Linked DNA regions of Struthio camelus. The protein of the gene in region 1 binds, or shares a complex with, the protein of each later gene. Links are inferred from orthologs where the notes say so. Each region holds a gene or a part of one and is shown in the gene's direction. Other genes may lie near its edges.

The links.
Region 2: SF3B2 (region 1) and RBM48 share a complex: the UniProt entries of both Homo sapiens proteins name them as parts of the minor spliceosome. The link is inferred for Struthio camelus from reciprocal best matches to the Homo sapiens genes SF3B2 and RBM48.
Region 3: SF3B2 (region 1) and EFTUD2 share a complex: the UniProt entries of both Homo sapiens proteins name them as parts of the minor spliceosome. The link is inferred for Struthio camelus from reciprocal best matches to the Homo sapiens genes SF3B2 and EFTUD2.
Region 4: SF3B2 (region 1) and CRNKL1 share a complex: the UniProt entries of both Homo sapiens proteins name them as parts of the minor spliceosome. The link is inferred for Struthio camelus from reciprocal best matches to the Homo sapiens genes SF3B2 and CRNKL1.

Annotation. Positions count from the first base shown.
Region 1 is NC_090976.1:1,017,543-1,025,382, forward strand, and holds the start of SF3B2 (splicing factor 3B subunit 2), read left to right. Parts: upstream 1-4,840; 5' UTR 4,841-4,866; coding exon 4,867-5,008; intron 5,009-6,986; coding exon 6,987-7,033; intron 7,034-7,334; coding exon 7,335-7,412; intron 7,413-7,840. UniProt on the Homo sapiens protein: Component of the 17S U2 SnRNP complex of the spliceosome, a large ribonucleoprotein complex that removes introns from transcribed pre-mRNAs.
Region 2 is NC_090943.1:27,304,212-27,312,160, forward strand, and holds the start of RBM48 (RNA-binding protein 48), read left to right. Parts: upstream 1-4,949; 5' UTR 4,950-4,987; coding exon 4,988-5,098; intron 5,099-6,458; exon of another isoform or gene 6,459-6,577; intron 6,578-7,023; coding exon 7,024-7,214; intron 7,215-7,340; coding exon 7,341-7,486; intron 7,487-7,949. Other genes in the region: peroxisomal ATPase PEX1, read right to left, coding at 2-116, 361-444, 2,377-2,520, 4,510-4,638. UniProt on the Homo sapiens protein: As a component of the minor spliceosome, involved in the splicing of U12-type introns in pre-mRNAs.
Region 3 is NC_090966.1:727,009-734,309, forward strand, and holds the start of EFTUD2 (116 kDa U5 small nuclear ribonucleoprotein component), read left to right. Parts: upstream 1-4,301; 5' UTR 4,302-4,408; exon of another isoform or gene 4,409-4,480; intron 4,481-4,751; 5' UTR 4,752-4,752; coding exon 4,753-4,857; intron 4,858-5,839; coding exon 5,840-6,005; intron 6,006-6,455; coding exon 6,456-6,534; intron 6,535-7,301. Other genes in the region: CCDC103 (coiled-coil domain-containing protein 103), read right to left, coding at 1,668-1,800, 3,437-3,579. UniProt on the Homo sapiens protein: Required for pre-mRNA splicing as component of the spliceosome, including pre-catalytic, catalytic and post-catalytic spliceosomal complexes. Component of the U5 snRNP and the U4/U6-U5 tri-snRNP complex, a building block of the spliceosome.
Region 4 is NC_090944.1:145,285,267-145,292,790, reverse strand, and holds the start of CRNKL1 (crooked neck-like protein 1), read left to right. Parts: upstream 1-4,524; 5' UTR 4,525-4,756; coding exon 4,757-4,804; intron 4,805-5,348; coding exon 5,349-5,501; intron 5,502-6,391; coding exon 6,392-6,483; intron 6,484-6,609; coding exon 6,610-6,768; intron 6,769-7,129; coding exon 7,130-7,296; intron 7,297-7,524. Other genes in the region: CFAP61 (cilia- and flagella-associated protein 61), read right to left, coding at 1,395-1,545, 3,024-3,048. UniProt on the Homo sapiens protein: Involved in pre-mRNA splicing process. As a component of the minor spliceosome, involved in the splicing of U12-type introns in pre-mRNAs.

The DNA of each region.
Region 1 (7,840 bases):
GGGCACCGCCCCACACACACACCCCCAGCACACCCCACCGACAGGGCACCGCCCCACACACACCCCCAGCACACCCCACCGACAGGGCACCGCCCCGCACACACACACCCCCAGCACACCCCACCGACAGGGCACCGTCCCGCACACACACACCCCCAGCACACCCCACCGACAGGGCACCGCCCCGCACACACCCCCAGCACACCCCACCGACAGGGCACCGCCCCGCACACACACACCCCCAGCACACCCCACCGACAGGGCACCGCCCCGCACACACCCCCAGCACACCCCACCGACAGGGCACCGCCCCGCACACACACCCCCAGCACACCCCACCGACAGGGCACCGCCCAGCACACACACCCAGCACACCCCACCGACAGGGCACCGCCCCGCACACACACACCCAGCACACCCCACCGACAGGGCACCGCCCCGCACACACCCCCAGCACACCCCACCGACAGGGCATCGCCCCGCACACACACCCCCAGCACACCCCACCGACAGGGCACTACCCCGCACACCCCCAGCACACCCCACCGACAGGGCACCGCCCGGCACACACAGACCCCCAGCACACCCCACCGACAGGGCACCGCCCAGCACACACCCCCAGCACACCCCACCGACAGGGCACCGCCCCGCACACACACACCCCCAGCACACCCCACCGACAGGGCACCGCCCCGCACACACACCCCCAGCACACCCCACCGACAGGGCACCGCCCCACACACACACCCCCAGCACACCCCACCGACAGGGCACCGCCCCGCGCACACACCCCCAGCACACCCCACCGACAGGGCACCGCCCCACACACACACCCCCAGCACACCCCACCGACAGGGCACCGCCCCACACACACCCCCAGCACACCCCACCGACAGGGCACCGCCCCGCACACACACACCCCCAGCACACCCCACCGACAGGGCACCGTCCCGCACACACACACCCCCAGCACACCCCACCGACAGGGCACCGCCCCGCACACACCCCCAGCACACCCCACCGACAGGGCACCGCCCCGCACACACACACCCCCAGCACACCCCACCGACAGGGCACCGCCCCGCACACACCCCCAGCACACCCCACCGACAGGGCACCGCCCCGCACACACACCCCCAGCACACCCCACCGACAGGGCACCGCCCAGCACACACACCCAGCACACCCCACCGACAGGGCACCGCCCCGCACACACACACCCAGCACACCCCACCGACAGGGCACCGCCCCGCACACACCCCCAGCACACCCCACCGACAGGGCATCGCCCCGCACACACACCCCCAGCACACCCCACCGACAGGGCACTACCCCGCACACCCCCAGCACACCCCACCGACAGGGCACCGCCCGGCACACACAGACCCCCAGCACACCCCACCGACAGGGCACCGCCCAGCACACACCCCCAGCACACCCCACCGACAGGGCACCGCCCCGCACACACACCCCCAGCACACCCCACCGACAGGGCACCGCCCCGCACACACCCCCAGCACACCCCACCGACAGGGCACCGCCCCGCACACACCCCCAGCACACCCCACCGACAGGGCACCGCCCCGCACACACACACCCCCAGCACACCCCACCGACAGGGCACCGCCCCGCACACACACACCCCCAGCACACCCCACTGACAGGGCACTGCCCCATACACACCCAGCACACCCCACCAACAGGGCACCGCCCCGCACACACACACCCAGCACACCCCACCGACACGGCACCGCCCCGCACACACACACCCCCAGCACACCCCACCGACAGGGCACCGCCCCGCACACACCCCCAGCACACCCCACCGACAGGGCACCGCCCCGCACACACACCCCCCAGCACACCCCACCGACAGGGCACCGCCCCGCACACACACCCCCAGCACACCCCACCGACAGGGCACCGCCCCACACACACCCCCAGCACACCCCACCGACAGGGCACCGCCCCGCACACACACACCCCCAGCACACCCCACCGACAGGGCACCGTCCCGCACACACACACCCCCAGCACACCCCACCGACAGGGCACCGCCCCGCACACACCCCCAGCACACCCCACCGACAGGGCACCGCCCCGCACACACACACCCCCAGCACACCCCACCGACAGGGCACCGCCCCGCACACACCCCCAGCACACCCCACCGACAGGGCACCGCCCCGCACACACACCCCCAGCACACCCCACCGACAGGGCACCGCCCCACACACACCCCCAGCACACCCCACCGACAGGGCACCGCCCCGCACACACACCCCCAGCACACCCCACCGACAGGGCACCGCCCCGCACACACACCCCCAGCACACCCCACCGACAGGGCACCGCCCCGCACACACCCCCAGCACACCCCACCGACAGGGCACCGCCCCGCACACACACCCCCAGCACACCCCACCGACAGGGCACCGCCCCGCACACACACCCCCAGCACACCCCACCGACAGGGCACCGCCCCGCACACCCCCCCAGCACACCCCACCGACAGGGCACCGCCCCGCACACACCCCCAGCACACCCCACCGACAGGGCACCGCCCCGCACACACACACCCCCAGCACACCCCACCGACAGGGCACCGCCCAGCACACACCCCCAGCACACCCCACCGACAGGGCACCGCCCCGCACACACACCCAGCACACCCCACCGACAGGGCACCGCCCCGCACACACACCCCCAGCACACCCCACCGACAGGGCACCGCCCCGCACACACAGACCCCCAGCACACCCCACCGACAGGGCACCGCCCCGCACACACAGACCCCCAGCACACCCCACCGACAGGGCACCGCCCCGCACACACACCCAGCACACCCCACCGACAGGGCACCGCCCCGCACACACACCCCTAGCACACCCCACCGACAGGGCACCGCCCCACACACACCCCCAGCACACCCCACCGACAGGGCACCGCCCCACACACACACCCCCAGCACACCCCACCGACAGGGCACTGCCCCACACACACACCCCCAGCACACCCCACCGACAGGGCACCGCCCCACACACACCCCCAGCACACCCCACCGACAGGGCACCGCCCCGCACACACACCCCCAGCACACCCCACCGACAGGGCACCGCCCCGCACACACAGACCCCCAGCACACCCCACCGACAGGGCACCGCCCCACACACACCCCCAGCACACCCCACCGACAGGGCACCGCCCCACACACACACCCCCAGCACACCCCACCGACAGGGCACCGCCCCACACACACCCCCAGCACACCCCACCGACAGGGCACCGCCCCGCACACACACACCCCCAGCACACCCCACCGACAGGGCACCGTCCCGCACACACACACCCCCAGCACACCCCACCGACAGGGCACCGCCCCGCACACACCCCCAGCACACCCCACCGACAGGGCACCGCCCCGCACACACACACCCCCAGCACACCCCACCGACAGGGCACCGCCCCGCACACACCCCCAGCACACCCCACCGACAGGGCACCGCCCCGCACACACACACCCCCAGCACACCCCACCGACAGGGCACCGCCCCGCACACACCCCCAGCACACCCCACCGACAGGGCACCGCCCCGCACACACACCCCCAGCACACCCCACCGACAGGGCACCGCCCCGCACACACACCCCCAGCACACCCCACCGACAGGGCACCGCCCAGCACACACACCCCCAGCACACCCCACCGACAGGGCACCGCCCCGCACACACACCCCCAGCACACCCCACCGACAGGGCACCGCCCCGCACACACACCCAGCACACCCCACCGACAGGGCACCGCCCCGCACACACACCCCCAGCACACCCCACCGACAGGGCACCGCCCCGCACACACAGACCCCCAGCACACCCCACCGACAGGGCACCGCCCCGCACACACAGACCCCCAGCACACCCCACCGACAGGGCACCGCCCCGCACACACACCCAGCACACCCCACCGACAGGGCACCGCCCCGCACACACACCCCTAGCACACCCCACCGACAGGGCACCGCCCCACACACACCCCCAGCACACCCCACCGACAGGGCACCGCCCCACACACACACCCCCAGCACACCCCACCGACAGGGCACTGCCCCACACACACACCCCCAGCACACCCCACCGACAGGGCACCGCCCCACACACACCCCCAGCACACCCCACCGACAGGGCACCGCCCCGCACACACACCCCCAGCACACCCCACCGACAGGGCACCGCCCCGCACACACAGACCCCCAGCACACCCCACCGACAGGGCACCGCCCCACACACACCCCCAGCACACCCCACCGACAGGGCACCGCCCCACACACACACCCCCAGCACACCCCACCGACAGGGCACTACCCCGCACACCCCCAGCACACCCCACCGACAGGGCACCGCCCGGCACACACCCCCAGCACACCCCACCGACAGGGCACTGCCCCACACACACACCCCCAGCACACCCCACCGACAGGGCACCGCCCCACACACACCCCCAGCACACCCCACCGACAGGGCACCGCCCCCCGCACACACACCCCCAGCACACCCCACCAACACGGCACTGCCCCGCACACGCGTTCCCACGGCGTGCTGAGTCATCGTGCCCGGGCCCAGGCGTCCGGGGACCCCTCCTCCCCCCGGGGCCCAGGCGTCCTGCCCCCCCCCCCCCCGGGTGCCCGGCCGTTACCTCAGGGCCGGCTCGGCCGCCTGGGTCCCACCCGCCTTCCCGCGCCGGGGACTACAATTCCCAGCAGGCAGCGCGCGGTCGCCGCCGTCATGACGCCATGACGCCATGACGCCAGGTCGGCAGGTCGCCTGGCGCGTGCGCGGCGGGAGGGGGCGGCGGGCGCGGGAAGGAAGATGGCGACGGAGCGGCCGGAGGCGGCCGCGGGCCCCGGCGCGGGGGAGTTGCCGCCGCCACCGCCGCCGCCGGCGCCCTACGCCGCCTGGGCCCCCGCCGAGCTGCAGGCCACGCTGGCCGACATCGGCGCCCCCGCGCAGGGTCCGCCGGGGCGGGGCGGGGGCCGGGGGGGTCTGGGGGTCAGAGTTGAGGGTATTTGGGGGCAGGCCGGGGGGGCGTTTGGGGGCTGGGGGGGGCAGGCCTTGAGGGGGGGTTGGGGATGGGGGTGTTTGGGGGCTGGGGGGGGTCGGGGGGGCAGGATTTAGAGTATTTGGGGACAGGCCGGGGGGCGTTTGGGGGCTGGTGGGGGCAGGCCTTGAGGGGGGGTTGGGGATGGGGGTGTTTGGGGACAGGGATGGGGGTGTTTGGGGCCTGGGGGGGGGTCGGGGGGGCAGGATTTAGAGTATTTGGGGACAGGCCGGGGGGCGTTTGGGGGCTGGGGGGGGCAGGCCTTGAGGGGGGGTTGGGGATGGGGGTGTTTGGGGGCTGGGGGGGGTCGGGGGGGCAGGATTTAGAGTATTTGGGGACAGGCCGGGGGGCGTTTGGGGGCTGGTGGGGGCAGGCCTTGAGGGGGGGTTGGGGATGGGGGTGTTTGGGGGCTGGGGGGGGTTCGGGGGGGCAGGATTTAGAGTATTTGGGGACAGGCCGCGGGGGGGATAGGGATGGGGATGGGGGTGTTTGGGGACAGGGATGGGGGTGTTTGGGGGGAGTTGTAGGAGTATTTGGGGCAGGGACGAGGGGAGGGTTGGGGACAGGGATGGGGGTATTTGGGGGGAGTTGTAGGAGTATTTGGGGCAGGGACGAGGGGAGTTGGGGACAGGCCGTGGGGTATTTGGGGGGAGTTGTAGGAGTATTTGGGGCAGGGACAAGGGGGGGGTTGGGGACAGGCCGTGGGGGTTTTGGGGGGGAGTTGGAGGAGTATTTGGGGCAGGGACGAGGGGAGGGTTGGGGACAGGCCATGGGGGTATTTGGGGGGAGTTGTAGGAGTATTTGGGGCAGGGACAAGGGGGGGGGTTGGGGACAGGCCGTGGGGGTATTTGGGGGGAGTTGTAGGAGTATTTGGGGCAGGGACGAGGGGAGTTGGGGACAGGCCGTGGGGTATTTGGGGGGAGTTGTAGGAGTATTTGGGGCAGGGACGAGGGGAGTTGGGGACAGGCCGTGGGGTATTTGGGGGGAGTTGTAGGAGTATTTGGGGCAGGGACGAGGGGAGGGTTGGGGACAGGCCGTGGGGGTATTTGGGGGGAGTTGTAGGAGTATTTGGGGCAGGGACGAGGGGAGGGTTGGGGACAGGCCGTGGGGGTATTTGGGGGGAGTTGGAGGAGTATTTGGGACAGGGACGAGGGGAGGGTTGGGGGCAGGCCGTGGGGGTTTTGGGGGGGAGTTGTAGGAGTATTTGGGGACAGGGACAAGGGGGGGGTTGGGGACAGGCCGTGGGGTATTTGGGGGGAGTTGTAGGAGTATTTGGGGCAGGGACGAGGGGAGGGTTGGGGGCAGGCCGTGGGGGTATTTGGGGGGAGTTGTAGGAGTATTTGGGGACAGGGACGAGGGGAGGGTTGGGGACAGGCCGTGGGGGTATTTGGGGGGAGTTGTAGGAGTATTTGGGGCAGGGACGAGGGGAGGGTTGGGGACAGGCCGTGGGGGTATTTGGGGGGAGTTGTAGGAGTATTTGGGGCAGGGACGAGGGGAGTTGGGGACAGGCCGTGGGGGTATTTGGGGGGAGTTGTAGGAGTATTTGGGGCAGGGACGAGGGGAGGGTTGGGGACAGGCCATGGGGGTATTTGGGGGGAGTTGGAGGAGTATTTGGGGACAGGGACGGGGGGGGGGGTTGGGGACAGGCCATGGGGGTATTTGGGGGGAGTTGTAGGAGTATTTGGGGCAGGGACGAGGGGAGTTGGGGACAGGCCGTGGGGGTATTTGGGGGAGACTCGGAAGGGCATTTGGGGACAGGGATGGAGGTATTTGGGGACACTGGCAGGGGGATTTGGGTGGGGGGGGGCATTTGAGAGCAGGTTTTGGGGTGGGGGGGAATTGGGGTCCCTCCGGGGGTATTGGGGGTCCCTGACCGACGGGTGCCCCACAGGCAGCCGGGAGGAGCTGGTGGAGCGGCTGCAGACCTACACCCTGCAGGTGAGCCGCCCCGGCACCCGCGGGTGGCCCTGCGCCGGGGCACCCTCGGGGGGGGTCAGCCCCTCCTCGTCCCCCACGTGGGTGCTGCCGTGTCCCAGCGTCCCCCCGGGTGGGGGTCCCCCATGTTCCAATATCCCCCCCCAGCTGGGATCCCTGCTCCACATCCCCTCCCACCATCTGGAGTGCAGTCCCTGTGTCCCCTCAGGGTGGGGGGGGGTCCCTACACCCTCCCCCGAGGCAGGGTCCCCAAATCGGACACCCCATCACCACGTTCCCCCCCCCCCCATTTTGCACCCCACAGACAGGCATCGTGCTGAGCCGCCCTGTGCTCCGGGCAGAGGAGGGCGACAAGGCGGCGCAGCCCCCGCTGCCGGGGCAGGTAGGGCCCTGGGGTGCCCTGTGGGGGGTGGCGGGTGCTGTGGGGGGCAGGGGGGGCTCTGGGGTGCCCCATGGGGGGCGGTGGGTGCTGTGGGGAGCAGGGGGGGCTCTGGGGTGCCCCATGGGGGGCGATAGGTGCCATGGGGAGCAGGGGGGACTCTGGGGTGCCCCATGGGGGGCTCTGGGGGGCTGTGGGGGGCCGGGAGGGCCCTGGGGTGCCCCATTGGGGGCAGCGGGCGCTGTAGGTGGCAGAGGGGGCTCTGGGGTGCCCCATTGGGGGAGTGACAAGTGCTGTGGGGGTTGGGGGGGCTCTGGGGTGCCTCATTGGGGGGCAGAGTGACGGTGGGTGCTCTGGTGGCAGGGGAGGGCCCTGGGGTGCCCCATGGGGGGCGATGGGTACCATGGGGAGCATGGAGGACCCTGGGGTGC
Region 2 (7,949 bases), on another chromosome or scaffold:
CCAATTCTGATGTAAACGTGAGTATGCTGTTCAACCCATACAGGGAAGATGGCTTTTGGAAATACTATTCGAATTTGGTCAAGAAGGTGTTTTTCAAGAGAGGAGGCGTGCAGTTCCTATGAAAATTTACTATCATTAGAAATAAAATCCTTCATAAATATTTAAGATTTGTTTGAGGATAAAAACTCTATGTCTCTTTCTAATATACCATCTGAAAGACAAAATACTATGAAAAACCCACCACATTTATTGCTTCCTTCGGGGAGGTAAAGGACAGCGATTGTGCTGAAAACTACATATACCTGACATCTTTGTCATCTGTAAGGAAGAGGACGTGAAAAACAAAAAGAGTTTTCTTACCAGTATTTCCCAATCATCTGCTGAGAGTGGTTCCACTTCTACTTGCTGACAGGAAGAGACATGAGAACAGGGTTCAAGGAATACCTGACAAATGTAAAACCATTTTGAAGTATTTAACTCCTTGCTTTTAATAAATAAAAATCCATCTTTAATTCAGCCAGACAACAGACATCTCCGTTATGCTTTCATTACTCTGAATATACGCTATCTTAATGGCACTAGCTAAGCTTATTAGCAGAAGATGAAATTTCAGTGCATTGGAAATGGATTGCATTGGGTATGCTTGGCGCTTTGATGCACCATGAACATAAGTGAATGAGAAGTGCATCAGGAACTGTATCAGCTGATATAAAACAATCCATTTTAAAGCATTTTGATCACACAAGCTTCTTTGGATTTTTATTATTTTTTAAAAAAAGGTTCCGCACTCTAGGAAAATTCATCCAATTGTGCACAAATTTACATAAGGCAGAAATAGCTGAAGAAATGGAAGAGGAAAAAATACAAAACAATAACAACAGCAAAAAACACACACACAATGAAACCAAACCAAGTTCTTCAATGAGTGGGTTCACAGGAAGCATCCCCACTTCCACATAACAGCTTTAAGGTCCTGTGTACCAGGAAGAATTATAGAAGCTGTTGTGGCTTAGGGAAAATACATCTTTTCAAGAGTCTTAAATATATATTTCAAGAGTTAATTTTACCAAAGGTTCATTATTTCAGAAAATAACAATTTTCAAACAATATAAGGCCATACATTTTTAAATAAACTCAAATAAACTTCTTCTGAGATAAAACTATCTCTAGTTACCTGTCCTCTGAGACATATTTGTTACTTTTATAAAAACTGATCTGAAATAATTGATTTTAAATTCCTGTGGGTCCTCAAGTTTGAAGCAAAAGGTGTGAGGAAATACCTTTTCCCAAATGTGGTAAACAGAAGAGCATATAACTATGAAACACAGCAAACATGTACTTTGAGGTCAAAAAGGTGGTGAAACTACTTAATCGTTCATGATGTATAGATGATTATTTCCCGACAACAGCTACGTAAGGTTTTACTCAAACTTCTTTTGTCGATTTATTTATTTTTTTCTGTTGAAGGCTATTAATTGTTAGAACAGAAAAGGCCACTTACCTTGCCACTGAACTAGTAAATCTAGTAAAAAAGTAAACATGCTAATGTAATACACTGCTTCAAGCCATGTCCTCTGATGTGGTTTATTTTGTTGAATAAGATTTTCTACATAATAGAATACGCATATATGAATATATGACACAGTAATATCGTGCAGAACAGTACTTTTCTACTCCTGTTGATTTAACTCTTCACCTATTAAGATAAAAGAATCTTGGATGCTGAAATGTTAAGAGTCCCATGACGCATATCTTTGGCTGTCTCCTGGGCATCTATCCAACTTCTCTACACTAAGAGAATCATTTAAAGAAGTTGTTGAACACACTGTCCAAGAGTAAGAAAACAGTAGGCCAATTTAAATAAATATTCAAAGAAAGAGGACATGGGGCTATAGGGTGAAGGGAGAATAAGAGGGTGACAATTCAAATCCAATATAAGTCAAATAAGAAGAAATACAGAGCAAGTCAATAATTATTTAACAATGACAGGAACTCCAGGCAGAATATTTTAATGAAAGAATTCCCAACTTATTTAACTGCAAATTATGTTTTCCTAAAAATAACGTCACTGCAGAGAGTGGCTCCAACCCTGCAAAAACCTACCCACAAGCCTATCCTTACATCATTTAGGTAATTGTAATGATTTTATGAACAAATCTTTTCATGGTTGAGACATGCTTCATGAAGGTGAACTTTTTCCATCAGACAGATATTAACAAAGTAACTTGGAGATGAGTGCACACGAAACAAGATGCCAGTTGATAGTTAGCTTGTAAACCATTATCTCTTCAGGGATCTTGTGCTATACATTCCATGTTTAAAAAAAAAAGGCGGGGGGGGGGGAAGAGAGAGCGATCGCGAGATTGCATTTCAAACCTGTTCTCCATCGGTAATGCCAAGTTTCTCTGCTAATTGTCTGTTAATCTCTGCAATATTTTCACCCTGGTGACCTCGATGCCTGATTTCCATCCAGCTCAAAAATATAGGCTGATGACCGCCGGAAACTTTCACAGCTTGGCCCTATTAGTTTCAGAGAAATAGAATAAATTAGTATCAAACAACTTAAATAAAATGACTCTTATTGAAACTAAAGCTTATATTTGATTAGAGAGCTGAAAGAAATTCAAAATAATTTATGGATTTTACCTGCCCAATTTTAATGAATATTCCAAAACTGTAATACACAATGTTTATAGTGTTTCTATTAATGATAATGGAAAATTTTTGGCTCTGGTGGACTGCTCAACTTCATCATCAAGACTTTCCTCAGAATTCTTCTCCGTGTTAGCTATCTGCACAGCTTCCAACACAGAATTTCTTGTTGGTTTCAATGTTTAAACAGCTTTCAATTTTTATAGTCGATTTTAAGTATATCTTCTTCCCCTTTTTCTGCATGATAATCTACCAACCAAATATCCCATAGAAATGTATAACTACACATTTTTATCTCTCATATGGGGGGAAAAAAACATACGTATATGATTAAGTTTCACATGCACTTTAATATATTCAGTACAGACTCTAAGAGTGCTTTCATGAGTTGGAAAATATTTTTAAAAAAATGTTATACTGACTTTGCTCAGACTACTATACGAATAAGTAAGCCCTAGCTACAGGATGAAACTGTAAGACTGTAAAGAAATTGCACTCCTTGTTTCTATCTCCTGAAGGCAGATTTGTAGCAAAAACGAAGCTAACATTTACACTGAATTTTTTGTAACAGGAACCTGTTCATCCCCACAGTTTACCAATGCCCCTTTAATCTCTCTTTTAGCACTCTGAAGGAAAAATAGTAACTTCTTACAAATCTAGATAATTTTGCTGTTGTGATACGTCTTTCTTGACCTCAGGAAATTAGCATGATGTTATGGGCTATTCCATAAATCTCCATGTGATTATTTGTCAAGTTAGCACATTCCAGTCTGCAGAAGGTATAAGAGGATTGCACGTTCCTGCTCCATTCTCAAACTCCATTCTGATTTTCTCCTTTTCTCCTGCTCCTTCTTATGGTGTCTTTTTTCTGCATACGTGATCTGTTCTGTTAACAATTTTTAAATTATTGACTTCTTTACCTGGCACAATGGATGCTCACAGGCCTTGCTAGTGTTTTCCTGTGTGAGATGTTAATAAAAACATAAGGGACGCTTCCTGCAACTGATTCGCATACCTCCTATCATCCAAAGCCCTATTAAGTATTTCTGTACAGAACTACACAGCAAAACATATATTTAGGTACACCAAGAACTATGATTCTGCACAGATTTAACATCTTAGCTACTACTTGAAAGATCCAATTTACATGTTATTCAGTTAATGCTGGTGCATGGATTACTGCCAAAAGAAAGGTATAAAAATAGGCAGTGCTGAGAGAAAAGTAGATGACAACATGCAGGTGGTGTAAGACTAAGTTCAGAGATAACGAAGTCCCACCTTTTTTTGTTTTAGCAAGGAGAACGCATGACAACACGGTCAGAAACCTTGGCACGACGCTGTGAACCGTCCAGACACGCTGACGGCAGGCAGCGGCCCGACTGGACGGCAGCGGTACGAAGCGTAAGTTACGCGCTTCTACGGGAAGCCACAGGGCTGACTGACTTTAAACACTGCCTCCCACACCCCTGATCTTGTCCGTACGAGGGGGGCAGCAACAGCCCGCGGGCAGCGGGGGGCGGGGAAGGCCGCGGGCGGCCCCCGGCGGCGCTGGGGCTGGGGCAGCGGCAGGCCGGGGGGGGGGGGGGGGGGCGGGGCTTCCCGCTGCCTCTCCGGGAAGGGCTCCAACCACCTGGGGGAAGGGGGAGGCGCGCGCGCGCCTTGTCACCATGGCGACAACACAGCTTGTAGGGGAGAGGTGACGTCAGCAGTGATGGGGACCGGGGGAGGGGGAGGGGGAGGGAGACTGCGTATCGCCATGGCAACGGGATGCCGGGAGGGAGGAGAGGTTGCTCTCCCACAATCCTCCCCGCCCCAGGAGTCCCTTCGCCCAGGCCCCGAGCGGAGCCTAGCCGGTACCTGCTGCAGGCGAAGGTGAGAGGCCAGCACGGGAGGCAGGTGCAGGAAGCAGTCCCGGCTCCCGCTGAGGACCACTGTCACCGCGGCGACTCCAGCTCCGCCTCCCCCAGGGTTGCCGCTGCCCCACATCCTGGCGGGCGGGCAGCCGGGCGCCACCGCCGCCGGGCGCCCGCTCCGCCCTAGCGCTCCGTGAGGAGGGCGGGCAGCCTAGGCCTCCCCGAGATCCCTCCCCCCCCCCCCGGGGCAATAGTATGACCCACGGCCAGCCAATGGGAGCGCGGCATATACTCATTCCCTTTTTCTGATTGGTTGCTCTATCGAGGGCTTCAGCTTGTTCTGTCTGGCTTCCGTATGCCGTCGAGCTCCACCTAGTCGGAGCCAATGAGAGTAAGGCAGTTGTTCTGTCCGTTGCCTCATTGGCTACTCTCTCGGGCAGCGGCTAGAGCGACCTCCGTGGGGCGCAGTGACCGACGGGAAGATGGCGGCGGCCGGCAGCGCCCTGGGCGATGCTTGCCGGCATCACGCGCAGTTGGGGGCCTGCGAGTCGCGCGCCAAGTACCGCGAGGGGCGGAGGCCGCGCGCCGTGAAGGTGAGGCGGCCGCGGGCCCGGCCGTGCGAGCGGGCCGTCCGCGCTCCCCCGGGGCGGCTGCGGCCGCGGCCGCCTCGGAGCGGGCGCTGCGCCGGCGGGTCCGGCCGTGCGGCGCGGCGCGGCGCGGCGGCCGCGGCTGCAGGCGCGGCTGCTGTGGGGGGAGGGCGGGCCTGCGTCCCGTGAGCTCGTCGGCAGGAGCGCCCCGACCTCGCGGGCTGTGCTTGTGTCGCTTCTTGGTGCTTGTCTCCGTTCAGGGCTTTTCTGCGGTTCGTCTCCTCCGCCGTGTTGCTGCGGCGCATCGTGTGCCGGCTCCGGTAGGGTTGAAGGCGGGCGTAGCGTGAGGCGCTCCCCTGACAGAAGTCGGCCTGCCTTCTCACCTGTCGGCCGAGAGGAAGCGGCTCTTTCAAAGTCAGCAGGAACTTTGCTGAGCTTTGGAGAACTTTACTTCCAGTTCTTGAGACATACCGTCTACTTTGGCAGTTACCGCATCCTGATGGCCCTCTGCCGTGCTCGTTCAGTGTCCTGCGCTGTGCCTGGAGCGCACAGCTGTGCAGCATGAGTAGCCCCTGCCCTGAAGGGTTTGCAGCCTTAGCGTGTTTCCTTTTTATGCACAAAAGCAGTAGGCACTAGCAGGAACTGGTGGATGTGAGTCCAGTAAATCTAGTAACCTCAAAACTGTACCTTGTAAATTAATTGGTTAGAAATGCATGTGGCACAAGTAGTCCAGTCTTAGGCAAAACATAAAAATACAAAAATGATTAAGTGGAGTGTAAAGAGACTTCTGCAGCTGAATGCTGCAGTTATTAGCTAACAGAGTTGGGTACGCAATGTCATTGAACTCAATAGGGCTTAGATGCACAAGGCTGTTCTTGTATTTATGTAGTCACACGCATCTGCTCCTGGTAAGATTCAGGGAAGGGCACACATTATAGTTGAAATTTCTCATTACACTGGGCTGGAGAAGGCTGCATTTGCTTTTTGCGTGTGTAGTTAACATACTGTGTGCAGTATAGGTATGTTTTAGGGCTGACTTGGGAAGGAGAACGGCTAGGAATAAGCTGTTGTCAACGAGAACAATTTTTGCACGCTATTTGGAGAGGGTACCTTTTTATGACGGTGGTTTGAGAGCTGATTTCCTGACTGGTTCCCTCTGGTCCTGCATTTGCTGGCTTTTGAGAAGGATGTGCATCTCATGCAGTCTAAATGTTTTTGAATGAATTCATGTATATTTTTTAAATCTTACAGTAACCAACCTGCTCTACGTAGACTGAGCTGTCAGAGCTTCCCTTGGATTTTTCTTCCTGTGTTGTTCTGCTACAGTCATTATGCAAAGTAGAAAGGAATTTCTGCTAACCTGCCAGGGAAAACATTGCTGCTCTCAGCATCTGATTTACGTATCTGTCTCTCAAAAATGTATCTTGTTTGATCACTGCAGCAGAGGCAGCTCTGTACACACATGATGTGCCCAAAGGGATCAAAGTATTTTCTGCCTGCTTTGCCTCTCTGCCTTGTGATCGGTAAAGATTTTACAGGATTTGTTCTTTATTTTGACAGTGCCTCATACTAATTGGCTACGATTCAGTCTTGCAAGGAAATCTAGGGACTTGAAGTACTGCTGTTTGCTGAATAAAACTTATGACCTGGTGGAGAAAGTGCCGACTCTAATTTGCATTCTACTTTTGAGTAACAGGAATGAGTTCAGTCCCTCTCAGTGATGGAGAAGTCCCAGAAAACTCTGCACTTACCTTTTTGCTAAGGTCCTGGCTTACTGCTACTGCCAAAATCTAAATAGAGCGCAGAGGATTTTCAGTGTTCTGAGAGGATTTGAGGAGCAACAGACAACGTACAGGAAATTCCTGGAATTGTTACTTTTGCACTAAAGTAAGAATATAAACACTTTAAAATACTGTGTTCTGTTCTTTCAGGTTTACACTATCAACTTGGAATCTCGTTACTTACTAATACAAGGAGTTCCTGCGTTAGGTGTCATGAAGGAATTAGTTGAACAATTTGCATTATATGGTGCCATTGATGAGTATCATGCTCTAGATGAATATCCAGCAGAGCAGTTTACCGAGGTTTATCTTATAAAATTCCAAAAACTGCCATGTGCAAGGTACCGTATAGGGCAGTATCTGCCTTCTTCTTACTCTTTTACACCCTAGTTGTTTGTAATCTGTTAAGATTCCAGACAGTTGAAGTGCTAGTCTTGGTTTTGCTAATACAGTTTAATTTCCTTCAGGGTGGCCAAGAAAAAAATGGACGAACGAAGTTTCTTTGGTAGCTTGCTGCATGTGTGCTATGCTCCAGAATTTGAAACAGTCCAAGAAACGAGGGAGAAGTTGCAGGATAGAAGAAAGTATATAGCAAAAGCAACAAATCAGAGAGGTTTGTAATTAGATTTCCTATAGATCTAACATATCGTTTCAGTGGTGGGTGGGTTAGAAGTGCCCACAATAAAACAAAATATTTTGTGTTTAACTGTTTTAAAGATTCATTTTAAATAAGCTAGCAGCAGAACAGGGACATCTTTCAACATTTAGAGGGCTGTATATTTTTGAAACAATTTTTAGTCTTTGGTTGATACAAAAATAAAAAAAATGCACAAGTTTTAATACTTCATTGTTTCCTTCCCTTTCCATTTTCTACTCTAAACGTTATCAGAAATTTCCAGCACTGATCAAGAAATTGGAAGTCATCTTTTCACCCTTGTTCCAGCTTATTCAGGCAGACCAAAAGGGAAAAAGTATTGTAAGGGGACCACACCCAGAGGCTTTTAACAAAACTTCTCTAGGCCATGCGTTGGCATTGGAGGAATGCTGAAAATGGACTGGGTTTACAGGCAGTGGGG
Region 3 (7,301 bases), on another chromosome or scaffold:
TAGTGGAGTAACCCTAAACCTAGTCAGAACTACTCAGATGAACTGCTGAGCCTGGATCCACTGTCACTGCTCAGGAAGGGATCTGCTGGAGATTGTGGTACTTAGTGAAAACCTCTGCTCCATCTCAAGCACCATGAAGCAAATCAAAGGGACGAGGAGATAAAAGATATGGGATGTAAAACCCAGAAACTGTTCTGATGCCCCTAGCACGCCCTTTCCTTACATACTGCATTCCTACGGGCCTGTGGTAATGTGCTTGGACTAAAAGAAAGAGACATGCTCAATGTGGCATCTCCAGATAAAAGGAAGTCTTTTTTATCCAACATGTAATCAGATTGCTGAACTCATCACTGCCAACTTAACTCAAGCGCAGATTGAAGTAGGATTAAAATGTTTAGGCTTTTATACAGCTAGTGAAAACAAGCCACAGCAATAACAGGCTGTGTTTAAATACAAAATGTAGATGCCCTGGAGATCAGAGCCCAAGCACTAATGAGATTAGGAACAGAATTTCCTCTAGGAGGATCACTGTTCAGTGCAGCCAAATCTAAAGCTGCCTGGAAGAGTTGCAGAAGGATCTCATAATAACAGGCAAATGAGATTCACTGTCAAAAAATTCATGAGATGCTTGTGAGAAGCATCCACGGGAAATATCTCTAGCTACATGTTCAGGGATAGACTCTATTGCAGCTCCCATCCTGCAAGAAATTATCCCTGTCACTGTGTCACTGGGCCAGTAAAAGTCATCATGGATAGTCTTCTGAAAACATCAGCTTATGCTCAGCAGCAGTCAAACTGGCAAAGCCAGTGTGGGGAGTTAGTAGGAAAGCAACTGAAAATAAAACAGAATGATTGCTTTGTGATTGTATAAATCCACAGGGTACCCATACCTTGAATACTGCCTGCAGTTTGCCTACCCTTTTGCACAAAAATAAGCTAGCACTGGCAAAGAGAAGGGCAACAAGGGTGGTTGGAGGTACAAAATGCTTTCTATATCAGAAAGCATTAAACTGACCAGGACTTTTCAGCTTGGACAGAGTCCACTGAAGGGGGTAGGACAGGTGTCAGTTAAATCACAAATGACCGGGACAGGAAATGTTTATTTACTATTTCCCACAACTGAAGAACTAAGGAGCATCCCAGGAACTCATCAGGAAGTAGGTTTAAAACAAACAAAATAGTACTTTTTCACAGCATGCATAATTACACTGTGAGGTGAAAAGGGACAGGCCATATCACAGAAGATATATCATCTGTGGCTATTAAATGTGACAATCCTCATGCACAGACTGGCTCTCAGTCTCTAAACTGCAGCCAGCTGGAAGAGTATGGACAAGGGAGGGCACTCTTCCCCAAGAATCTGTTACTGGCCAGTATCAGAGGTGGGATATTGGGAGCTCTCCTCTGACACTGTACAGCTGGTCCTAGATTGCCAAACAGTTGAAATAGCCTCTTCTTGAAGCAGCTGGTGCAAGTCCTTGTCAGACACAAAATAGGGGCCAAGACTGAACCCTGAAGTTATCTAATTCCAGTATTTCTGGGGATTTTGAGGGCTTGTTCCCAGGTAGAAATATTTTTGAATAACTCTTGCACTTTAAAATAATACCCCACATTATTCCGGAGTAATTTTTAGATGTGGACAAAGTCCCAGAAAATGTCTCCTTCACCTGGGCTATTTCCACGTTGCTGACTTGCTCTCCTTTAGTGTGGGTTGCACAAGGATTCCACAGCAGGTTTCTTTGCTTACCCATTTTGTCCTTTTTCTCTAGAGGCTTCAAGTGTGATGCCAGCACGATATCCCTGCAGGCAACAGAAGAGGAATGGGATATTTAGCAAGATCAAATGCTTCCAGGCTTTGAGTCTCTTCTGCAGTGCCTGCTGTGAGGCTGGCAATTTCTGAGTTTGTGGCATGATACATATCAAACAAGATCTGGATTCAAATCAGATCATGAAGCATCATTGATGGATCAGAGGAAGAGAGAGGATATCGCATGGGGCACCTGGCAGGTACATCTTGCTCACATACTCAGTATTAACCTAATCATCAGGATCAACTAAGCAGGAATTTCCCCAGAGGCTGGACTGCTCTAGAGCACTACGATGGTACCTCCCCAGCATGGGGAACAGGAGCTGGGCATTTCTGACATTTTTACCTTGCCAGAGCCAGGGCCCAAAGAAATGGCAGGACACTTTTGTCCTGCCCTTTTCTTACGGTACACTGAAGATTTTGTCACTTTTAGGCTTTCACGGGAAAGGTCCTAATTTTCTACAGCGCCTAGGGATTGTTTTGTAGTTTGCAGAGTGCTGGACTGGTTATGTTTTTGTGGATTCATTTGAATTCAGTGTCTTATTACACTGATGTCTATGACCACACCAGCCCGGACTCAATGCCTCATGTGGTTCCTTTTGTTTCATGGGATGAACCTCTGTCTCTAGTTAGGCCTCACAATAATTAGCTGGAGGAGATCTTTTGAGCAGTCCCTGCTACTATGCTAGTGAGCCTCTCTAGTAAAGGCACAGCACCCACAGATAGAAGCTGTTCTGTTACCTCCCTCAGATTACTTCTATCTTTAATAATACAGCTGCATTGCAGATTTTGTGGACAGAGTAGGAATGCAGGGTTTTTTTTCCCTATACTTTAACCAACGAATACTACACTGATAGAACTCTGCAGCATAGAAACATGTTCACAGGAACCCTTTTATAGGGACCAGAAGACAGAAGAGAAAATACCATTTCAAAATTTTCCTTCCCTTTCACAGATCTGATAGCATGACTGAATGCATGTGGAGGTGAGACCATGAATGCAATTTGCTCTAGTCATGGATCAGTCTATCAAGGGTGCTCAAGTTCCTGGATCCATCTACAGATCTGGCTGTGGATATCAGTGGGCGAGAACTCAGTGGGGATCAGCTACAGTTGGGGTGGCAATTGGAGCATTCTGTGCTGCCTGCCTCCAAGGAGCTTGCCTGCCATCCCAGGACCATGTTTCAACCCTGCTCAGAGCTCTGGCTGCGTGATGATGACTTTGGGAGCAAGAATACCCTGAGTGGGGTGCTGGGGACCATGTATCACCTTGTCCCTCTGTACTGCCATCACTGCGTGGGGCTGAGAGAGCCTGAGGGGAGGAAGGAGGTCAGGACAAAAACAGTTGGGTGACCACATTAGTGTATAGTGAGCTTAGGCCTGTCTCTAAGAGGTCTCAGAATTAATCACCATCACTCATGGGGTTGTGCTGGCTCTGTGTCAGGAATATCGAGAGCCAAGCACTGGGCACTGGCGAGTTAGAAAAGTGACACTGACCCGCTCAATCCTAATCCCTCTAAACTCGAGGGAATACAGCAGAGGAAGTTAACAGATCTCTGCAGGACATGAAATAAAACAAAACTTCCCTTGAAGAAGGACTTCTGTACTGCGAGGACAGCTTTCGGCAGACCTGAACTCCTCGTAAGATGCCACTTTCTGGTGCACGGCCCGGAACTTGGCGCTGTTTTCCCTCTCATACTTCTCGTCGGCAGCCACGGCTGCTCGCAGCTCTTTCTCCAGAGCGCTGAAGTCGATCGCGCCGTCTGCCTCCATTGTGCACCTAGGAGCAACGGAGAGCGTGGGCCCAGGCTGCCGAGGCGATGGTGGTGGAGCAGCCCCCTGGGCAGGGGGCCAGCACCCGCGGCAGGGCCTAAGCGGCACCCGACACGGGTGCAGGGAAGGGGTCCAGCCAGCGGGCGGGATGGTGGGGCCCCGAGAGGGAGGAATCACCCGCCAGGAAGGAGGCTGAGGGCTGAGGGGACACAGGGACAACCGCTCATATCGTGACAAGCACGATGGGCTGGTTTGAGCCCACAGCCCACTGTGGGGACGACTGCTTCTGCCACGCCAGCCCTGCCGGGCTGAGCACACTGCTGGCCGCAGGGACTCCTGCTAATATCGCGACAGCCCCACTAGGCTGAGCGCACCCCCGACGTCAGGGACACCTGCTGCTATCGCGACAGCCCCACCAAGACGAGCACGCGGCCAGCCTCAGGGATACCCACTCGTACCGCGACAGCTCCACCAGGCTGAGCGCACCGCCGGCGTCAGGCACACCCGCTCCTATCGCGACTGTCGCGACGGACCGGGCTCCCCACCGGGCGCGCGGGCGCCCCTAGCGTCGCCATGGCGACAGGGCAGCGCGGCGAGGCCCCGACTCGGGGCTGCCCCGGACGGCGCCTGACAGAAACGGCCCGCCCCGCCGCGCCGGGCGGCCCGGCCCGGCCCGGGGCTGCCGAGACCCCGCCAGGACCCCCGCGGCACCGCCCGCCTCGGCCCCGCGGCCCTGCCGGCGGGCCTGTCCCGTCAGGCGGCGCGGGCAGCCTGGGGTCCTTGCGGCCTGGTGGCGCGCGGCGCCGGCGGCGAGGGCAGCGCGCGGCGGGTGAGCGGGGCCGGGCGGCCCGGCGGCCCCGGGGCAGGGCCGGGAGCGACACGGGCCTCGCCGGGCTCCGGGGCACGGAGCAGGATGGGGGGATCCGGGGCGGGGCAGGCCGCACCGGGCGAGGAGCCCCGGTGCAGGGCAGAACCGATACGGGGGGCAGTGCAGGCCGTAACAGGCCGGGGGTCCTAATGCAGGGCAGAACCGGGATGGCATCAGTGCAGGCCATAGCGGGCCGGGGGTCCCGGTGTGGGGCAGTCCCGGGGATGGGGTCAGTGCAGGGCAGTGCACGCAGCAGTATCACCACCCACCCGCTGATCCGCGTCCCTGTCCCTCCACCCTGCAGCATGGACACCGACCTGTACGACGAGTTTGGGAACTACATCGGGCCGGAGCTGGACTCTGATGATGACGATGATGAGCTGGGCAGAGAGTCCAAGGATCTGGACGAGGTGAGGGATGGGGATGGGTTGAGCTTTGGAGTCTGGGGGGAGCTTTGCATGCACGCTGTCCTGCCCATTACTCGCCTTGTTCATGCTGGGTGCAAAAAGGGCCGCACGGAGCAGGCACTGAGCCCCCAGCCAAACCCATGGTCATCACAAGCTGCCAGCAATTCCTTTTCCCTGCCAGGCCCTGGTTCTGCAAAAAACTTTCTTCGGTGATGGACTCTGATCCTATTTTATTCCTAATGATAGTAACAGAGTTGATTTAAAAAAAAAAAAATCCAGCAAAAGCTGCATTCCTGTTAGTGTGTTAAAGAGAAAGAAATACCGTTTCTGCTTGAGTCTCTGTTACAATCTTAGGTAGTTCAAGCCATATTTGACTTTGTACTCAATCAGAAGATCCAGATCCTTTCAGTAAGGTCCTTAGGCTGCCTCTTAGTCCTTTCTTAATATACACTAATGCTATGGCAGTATTGTAAGGAGCTCAATTCCCCAGTGATGGGCACAGTGTAAGACACTGTGGACACCAGAGCAGAGATATGGGCAGTGTTTATAAGGACAGCAGAAGGGGGCGTTCTGCTGTGCCATGTCAGTGAAAGGTTTGGAGGAGCTAGGAAGCCCCTCCCAGTCTAGTCTTCCTACAGCTAAAAAGTGGTGTCTGTTGTGTTTGTGAATGAAGGACAAGAGCTGCTCTCCGTGCAGGCATCACTGCAAATGCTGTAGTTTTAAAGGTGGCCTGTGGCTTTTAGGAATGGTGCCGCGGTGGGAAGATTCATCTTGCTTATGGAGATCTTTTCTGCAAATCGCGCTGCAGTTGGTTGCAATATGCCGGGGTTGTCATCATCGGTGGCTCTTTGGCTGTATGTGGGCTTATGGCTTTTTTTTATTGTATGATGCCAAGGCCTATAAGACTTTCTGGGGAGACTGAGGGTTATAAAGCAGTTTGATGCCCTGGGGGATGGCAGCAGCTAAACGTGAGTGTTGGTTGCAGCTCGAGGATGATGATGAGGATGATGATATGGGAGACCATGACGAGGACCACCCTGGGATGGAGGTGGTGCTGCATGAGGATAAGAAGTACTATCCCACTGCTGAGGAGGTCTATGGGCCTGAAGTAGAAACAATAGTACAAGAGGAAGATACGCAGCCTCTCACTGGTAAGTGGTGTAAAGCAGTGAGTTGGGTGTGGAGCGAGGAGAAGTCTCTTAGCAGATCTTTGGAAAAGGGAACATATTACTCCCTTCCATTCTCCCCATTCCCCATGACTTTTAACATCCCTCTTAAAAACCCTCACAGCCTCTAAAATGCATAGACTCTTCCTGTTTGTCTAGCAGTGTCCAGATTTTGGCACTCTGGATTACTGCAAATGCCAAACAAACTATCTTTTGAAGAGCAGACATTGGCAGACACTAGAAGGTTATTTAAAGAGATGTGAAAATATGTTTAAGTCATCTCATTTGTTTCTCCCATAAAAAGATAAAAGAATCTCTCAGCTTGAAAATTGTGTTTCTATCTTCAAAAATCCCCGTTTAGTATTAGCATTTCTGAGAACACTGTTGTTCAGGGTCATTCATAACAATTTTTGTTGTACTTTCTCTTGTTTTCAGAGCCTATTATTAAACCCGTGAAAACTAAAAAATTTTCTTTGATGGAACAGACGTTACCGGTTACTGTCTATGAGATGGAGTAAGTAATATGTAGGGGTTTTAAGGGTGTACTTTGAATCAATCCGTCTGTGCTGTGACTCTCTTGCTTTTTGTTGTTTACAGGCAAAGGTAGAGAGGCAGAGTAGTGTGCGCTATAACGGAGGAGAAAGCTTAGGAGGAGCATTGGGTTTGTTTCTTACTGACACCAGCAATATCACTGTGAGTGCAGCCGTTTCCCCTATTTTGAGGCAAAAAGAAGAGGAAGAAAGCACAAGAGTAACAAATATTTGCCTTGCACAGTATGCGGTGTAGGGCACTAATTTTCCTACCACTAGAACTTAAATCTTTTGTCATTTCTTATCAGCTGGTGTAAACCTTGGCAGTTGGAAACCCTGATGGTATGGGTTTGCTGAAAGCAACTTTTCTTGATTGACACAGCAAAAATTTATATGGCCAGTGTGTTGCACACTTCATATTGATATAGCCGCACTTCATATTGATATAGCCGAAAAGGACATTTTGCTTTGATCCCAAAGAACATAGGCCTACAGCTGTCTCAAATTCATTCCTGTCTATTCTGGAGGAGTTTGCAGGAAGGATTTGTATACCACCACTTGTGCATGAACCACTGCCAAGTTGTGTGTAGGTTAGTATAAAGCTGCAGCTAAGCTGTGCTTCTGCTGCACTTGATGGTATCTGCTGGTTGTACCCTGCAAAGCGGTCCCTGGGGATACCAGAATCTGGAGCAAACCACTCAGAAAAAATTCCAAACAGAAAATTGAGTTATTCTCTCTCAAATCCTATCTA
Region 4 (7,524 bases), on another chromosome or scaffold:
TACACATACGCACGATCTGTCCCTTTGCATCTGCCTCTGATGTCACTACCTGTTTGTTTAAGATGCACTAAATGAAGAAGAATCTTCTTTGTCTTTCACTGACATCTCTGTAGAGAAGGAGAACCCTTTATAAAGCAAGTTTCATGTTATTTTCTCCTCCTCTTCAATTTTTTCCTTGTTTCCCCCCTCAATAAATTATCAGTTGGAAAGAGGGAAAATAAAGCTCACTAGATTTTAGACCCTCTTTCTCTTTAGACATCTTTCTCTCTGTTTTCAAGTTCTCCAGACTCCAGCCTTGCACTTGCATGTACTCAGCTTAACTAGCATGCGTAGCAGCACTGAGCATATAATTCAGCCTGTCAGAACTGTAAAATCAACCACATTCAAAAGAGCTCAGATGTTCAGGACTCAATAAAACTTCATTACCCAAGTCCTGACTTAGTGGTTCCTGAAATTATAACAATTCAAACAATTTTTGTAACCCTCAATTACTTCATACTTGGCATGCGAGAGTTAAACGTTCCTTCTTCTTTGGATCTTTCCTCGTAATTCTATTTTTCCCAAATACTTAGTATCTATTTACCTTTAAAGACAAGCGCAAAAAAAAAAAAAAACTTGAAATGACCCACTAGCATTTCACGCGCTCTGCCTCTGTGTGCTATACATCACCGCACAGAAGAGAAAGTCTCCAGCACTGCAGATATTGTAGCAGAAGGCTTCCACAACTACCTGCTTTTGCTAATGGTTTTGCCAGGCAAGAAACTAGGCTACAGATGTTCTAACATGGGGGATATTAAGTATCTCAGTGGTAGGAAACAAAGGAAGAGGTACATTGAAACATGCACTTTATAGCAGATGGAGAGAGCTTGTCTCCTAAGGCAGAACAGAAGAGGCAAAAAAATCCCTAACAACTCCTTTCCTTAAGGGGAAACTGGCAGAGAAGGAAAATGTTTAGACATAAACAAGCAAAGAGAATAGAAGGGTCATGGCCACACAGTGATCAAAACCCCTAATCCCTGCCGCTCTATTTCAAATACTCTCCAATTGACAAAAGGCTTCAATTAGATGAAAAAGACCGCAGACATTGGAATCTAACGGTTTCATCAGGTAATATTCAGAAGTATTTCTTCCGAACTTTTATAAAAAGCAGGGTAGTATATAGTCAAATTCTGATCATTATATTCACTACAGTGCTCCAACGCGGCACAGTCATGCACATTTGTGGCAGAAAGGAGATGGAAGCAAATTTTCTTTCCCTTTGATGAATTGCATAAAAAGTCACTATGCTATACCGTGTTAAGGCTCATAATGTTTATCTGCTCTTTTAAGCAGAACACAGTTTCTTGAAGTTTCCTACAAGAACGGTAATATAACATCCCTAAATAGTTACTTACAAAAGATATGTGACATTAATCCTTCCAAAAACTTTTTCTGTAGAATTGCTGATGAGGTTGATAATATCAGGAATATCATGTGATTCTGTCCTTCTGATACTGACCACTTCTGCATTTCCTCTCGAAGAAGTTATTGCAGTCATTTTATGGACTGTAACGAAAAGAAAGAAAACATTGCTGTTCTAGCAGATCCTGCAGCAACTTGCTGTTGAACGTAGTTACTTGAAATGGAATTTTTTAAAAGACTGGGAAGACTGCAACAGGATTTAAATGCCTAATTCCTGCAGGCCTCTGCACATATACATGACTACTCCCTGCATGCTTAGATATGGTGTGCATACAGTGCACATGTGGAAATACAGTAGGCAGTCATACCTACTGTACATATTCTGTATGCTACAGAGAAGTCTTTTTAATGGACTACAAACTTTTGCATCTATTATTTATTTAAAGGTATTCACAGGCTACTTATTAGAACAGTACTCATTGTTAGTCATTTCAAATTCTTAATAGTTTTCAGTCTATAGGGTTGGCAGGATCAGCTCAAGTGATCAGAATAATAACAACATAATAATATTAAAAAGTAACCTCAACTGAGCCAAGCGCATTTTGTCCAAAACAGCTCCTCGAACTTCTTTTTTAAGTCAACAATGATGGTTAATCTTCAGAAGGAACTGAGAGCGCTATAGCTTCCCTGCCCAGAAGGAAAACATTTGTGTGATTCCACATTTGCACAATTTGTCAGGTCCCAAGTGATTTGTTAAGATGTCTATCAATTTTGCAACAGACAGGGCAATAGGCAGTCAGCCCATCTGTGACTATCAACTAACAGTTCACTTATCTTTCAACTTTGTTGCCACTCAATACTGTATGGACGCGTTATATCCCGTTGTAACAGAAATAAAAATTAAGCAGGCAAAAATACAGAAATGGACCAAATACAGTCATTTACTGCAATTCCTTCAACATATATGTGTAAAACAGCATTGCTAATTCAAAAAAAAAGGAAAAAGTCAATATAGCTAACATATCTAGACTGGCAGAACTCTTTTCCCAATCTACCAAATATAACAGCCATTTCCAACATTGGCTCCAAACACAGATATGATGCCAATCACCCAGTTGTGCTCTACAAATCCCAGCTAAAATGAGATAATGAAGGAAATCCTGAATCTTATCCTTTTTATATACAAAGTCATGTGTACTGCTACATCTTTCACCTATAGTCAAGATATTATTGTATGTAATACTACCGGTCCCAGTCATGCAAATTTATGTTTGTAGAAAGGCCCTGGCACCAACCTGAAGGTAAATGTCTCCAGCAGGTTTTAATGCACGGGCTTAGTGGACGGAATTGTTGTTATGCAGAAAGAATCCAATTTCGGTTGGTATACCGAGGAACATACAACTACCATTCTTGTACCGAGCAGAAAGATGAATCTCATGAACTTTCCCTCTAAAGACTAGAGGGGAAATTTCTGTCTCCCAGCTGTCTGGTAAGTGAAACATTTTCCTCTGCACACAGAAGCATCATAGATATTCTCCCTTTTTAACTCTTGGTGTAGAAATAGCTAGAGTCACTACCCTTCAACTGCCTCATTCATCCAGCTTAGATTCGAATATACTTACTTAATATGGAGCATGACAATAACATCTACCAAAAAAAAAAAAAGATACTAGCTTGCATAGGCAATTTCTCCAATGTCTTAAGTTGTAAGACAGGTATATTATTTCCAGTGGAGTGGAAGCAATTACATGAAGGCTAAGTGAAGGATGGTTCCTAAAATGAGTAGACACAAAATTAACATAATTCACTTATACATTTAATTATGTAACTTTAAACTGTGAGACTATCTAAATAGTCGGTTATTTTTTATTAATTTCATCTCCATAAATCAAAGCAAACAGGAATTTTTATATGTTGTTCACAAATTTAACTTCAGCATTAAGATTACTTCAGCTGAGGAAAGTGCAGCTGGCCAAATTTCCATATTTAGTTGTTTAGCTTCATACATTGAAAAATACCAGCCCACCTCCCCTCAAACACTAGTGCAATTATGTCTGACAGAAAGCAACATTTATACCTTAAAAATGTACTGTTTTTATAAAAACAAAATGTACTGTTCCTATAATAACTCATGTAGTTGTATTAGAACAGCATACAATAGCTGGAAAAATTGGCAAAACAAGCAGATAAAGAATTGTTCCTTTTCTGAACCAGTTCTTGTAATAATTTCCTCTCCAGCTCATTAATTAATTAATTAATTAACACATTCTCTTTTAAGCCCAGGGGGGATTCCCAAGTGATAACTATTCTGTTAGTGACTCAAAGCACACCAAATGTGTCATAAGCATGTCTCTCACAAGACTTCCACAGGACATCTCCTGATTGCTCAGACCCATGGCAGATGGCACATACAAACCATACTGAACCAGGCCAAGAAAGAATTAATGGCTTCCTCTGGCAACAGGGATGAAGGATGTTGACCAGTCCCATCCCTGAAAGGCTTAGAGGAACAAAACCAGACCCAAATTGTAAAGCTTAGATGCCCTGAAAGAAGGCTGCTAGGTCTAAGAGCTGAGCTAAGCACTCTTGACTAATGAGCAAGCGAAAGCAGCACGGAAAATCAGGACAGGACACGATGGGTTTTTATGGCTTTGTTTACGAATATTGACATGTCTTGGACCATGCATCATCAGCACAGACTTTGCTATGCAATAAATAAGAATTTTGATCATTCTTACAGCCATCATTCATTTTAATCTCAGGCATTTGGCAACAGCCCTTAAGTCAGGAGCAGAGCTTTGAGGCTCCCAACGTAGCCCCTGAAAGGATCTACACAAATTCAGAAACTGAAACAGACTCTAGGGGCAGAATAAAATCAAAGTCAACCAAACACCCAACTTTAGCACTTCAGCTCCATCACCCCCCCCCCCCCCCCGCACACGCCCGCCCCGGCGGCTACCCCGTGCCTCATGTAATGCCTAGGGGCCCCCAGGGGGCGCCGCGCCGCCAGGAGCATGCTGGGAGCCTGGCCGCGCAAGGGGCGCTGGGAAGCGTAGTTCGGGGCTAGGGTGGTGGGGGTGCACCCCGTCTCCCCCAGCCGCGCTGGGCGCTCACCTTCACCCGGCTGCGACGGAGGGACCCCCGCTTCGTGGCGCTCCCAGAGCGGTGCGGCCGAGGGAAGCTGGGGACCGGCGGAGCGAGAAACGTGCGCTCGCTGTCCTCCCCGGCGGCAGCTTCTCCCGCGCGCAGAGCGGCCGTTAGGACGCGACGCCGCTGTTGCCGCGGCAACGGCGCGCGCTGGCGCTGCGTGAGGTCAGAGGTAACGGGGCCGGGGCCAGCGCGCAGAGGCGGCAAGATGGCGTCTACGGCGGCCGGGAAGCAGCGGATTCCGAAAGTGGCGAAGGTGCGACCGGGCGCTCGGCCCCGGCGGTGGGGAGGGCAGGGGAGCCACCCGGGACCGGGGCAGCCGCCCGGTCTGGCCAGGGGAGCCACCCGGGACCGGGGCAGCCGCCCGGTCTGGCCGGGCAGGGGCAGGCGGCGCTCCGAGCGCTTCCCCGCCCCCCAGCGCCAGAGTCGGCACCGATCCCCGTAATTTCCGCGGTGAAGGCGCGCTGGGCTCGGCCGTGCCGAGACGGCGTTTGAGGCAGCAACGGCCGCGTCTGCCGTCCGGGCCCGCCCGTCGTCGTCGTCGCAGCACGGCGGCTCACGCCGAGTGGCCCCACCATGACTTCAAGAAAGTTTTCCTTGTTTTTCGTGCTGCAGACAGAAGCAACGTAGCTTTGGGCTAATATACACGTTAAGACCCTGTTATTTCTCAGTCGGGCCCCATATCCTGCTTTGGTAAATACTGAACGTAGTAAGTCCCTGGATTAAATTACTCATGATGGGATGTTTCAGTTTTGCATTAACATGGAAAATTTTAAGTTAACTCCTCCCTTACTTTACAGGTGAAAAATAAAGCACCTGCAGAAGTTCAGATCACAGCAGAACAGCTTTTAAGAGAAGCAAAAGAGAGAGAGCTTGAACTTCTTCCACCACCTCCTCAACAGAAGATCACAGATGAGGAGGAGCTAAATGACTATAAACTTCGCAAAAGGAAGGTAAAGGCAAAAAAAATCCCTTACGTTGCTGCTCATATAACGCACTAAAACGTTAATTTTTTTTAATTTAAGCAAGATGTTTAAGAGCCCTAATGAAAATTTAGGGCTTTATAGTGCCAGATGGTGATGTCATTTTGCTCAGGCACATACAAGGCAACTGGAGTTAGATGATCAACACCACAGCGCTCCAAAACAGTTTTTGATGTTACATTTTTCTCATCCCTCATGTGAAGAGCAGTAACAAAACACCACATGTTAACTGTGTGTGTTAAACCATATTTAGCTATATGTTAAACAGCAATAGCAGCGTTCTTGATAGTAGTCCACAGCGCTGAAGAGGCCCTCACCATTGCACCAAGCTGTGAAATTTGTCTCGCACGTTTGGCACCAGAATATTTAAATCGAAAGAATAATCATAATGCATCTTGCTGTAAAAATACAAACAAACAAAAAAGAGAGAACGAGAGCGCACAATGATACAAATGGGTCGAAGGGAGCAAACTCTTGCTGACACATATGAATACATTCAGTGTTGTCTGCAGTGACTGGATTCTGTACGTCCAGTTAACGTTGCTATTGAATAGCTAACCAGGAGATTGAGGTTGAAAAAGGAAAAGATTTGAGTGCTATCTGTTAATATTCTGCCGGTATTTTATGTATTAAGTTGCAGGAACTTGAGTTTAGTCCTTATCTAAATGATGATTTATGCTTCTAGCTGCTCTGTCACTCAATTTTTGGAAAATGTTTTACTGAGTATGACTTGTTTCAACATCTGCATAGATATAATATTTGGAACGTAGTCCAGTTATAATAATATTCTGTAAAGGGTTTACAACAAGATCATTCTGCACAGAGGTATTTCCTACTTACAGAAATAACTTTCTCCTCAGACTTTTGAAGATAACATAAGAAAAAACAGAACTGTTATCAGTAACTGGATAAAGTACGCACAATGGGAGGAAAGCCTAAAAGAAATACAAAGGTAATTATGCTGTAGCTGCAGGCATCTCTTTTAAACTTTTTTAGATGCATGCTGACAAATACCATGAAAGTCTTAGAGGCACGTTATGTTCTCAACATACTTCAACAATGTCTCTTTACTTTCCAGAGCTCGTTCCATTTACGAACGTGCTTTAGACGTAGACTACAGAAATGTCACTCTCTGGCTGAAATATGCAGAAATGGAAATGAAGAACCGCCAGGTTAATCACGCCCGCAACATTTGGGATCGAGCCATTACTACCCTCCCCAGGGTCAACCAGTTCTGGTATGTTTTCAGAGAGTAAAGCATTGCTTTAACTCTCAAAGAGCATGTTTCATTTTTCTGTTTAGGCATAATGCAAGAGTGCATTGTGTTCTCTGTTTCTGCAGTTCTTCAAGTTAATCCCCAAAAATGGAAAGGCTTAAGTTTTAGAAAGTTTTTGTACTTTTCAAGTGGTTAACAGTAGTGGAAGAAGGATGTTTGTGTATCTGCGTGCTGCCAATCACAACAGTATAGGCACTTCTGGAGGGCAAGTGGTGAACAGGTGGAGAAATCTCAGTAATGCTCTTACTGAACACTCAAAAAAAGTCATTGTACTTTTAAGCATTTACTAAGTGATTGTAAACACTTGATCTTATTTTCTAAGGTATAAGTATACTTACATGGAAGAGATGTTGGGGAATGTTGCTGGAGCACGTCAGGTGTTTGAACGTTGGATGGAGTGGCAACCAGAGGAGCAAGCTTGGCATTCCTATATTAACTTCGAGCTGAGATACAAGGAGGTGGACAGGGCGCGTACCATTTATGAGAGATATATCCTTTCTAGTGCGTTGTGATTCCTACCCAGGTTTAGGCTTGGATTCTTCATTTCTTTTATTTAACAGTACTCGTGTTTCCAGCTTCTTGCAGTCATCCTTTGTTTCAAATTCCTCCTTCTTATACTTCTTCTTGACCCTTGTCTGATTTTTTTTTTCCCCCCCTTTCACCTTTTTTTTTTTTTTTTTCTCCTTAAGTTCTTGGGACCGAACATGAAGCCTTTGC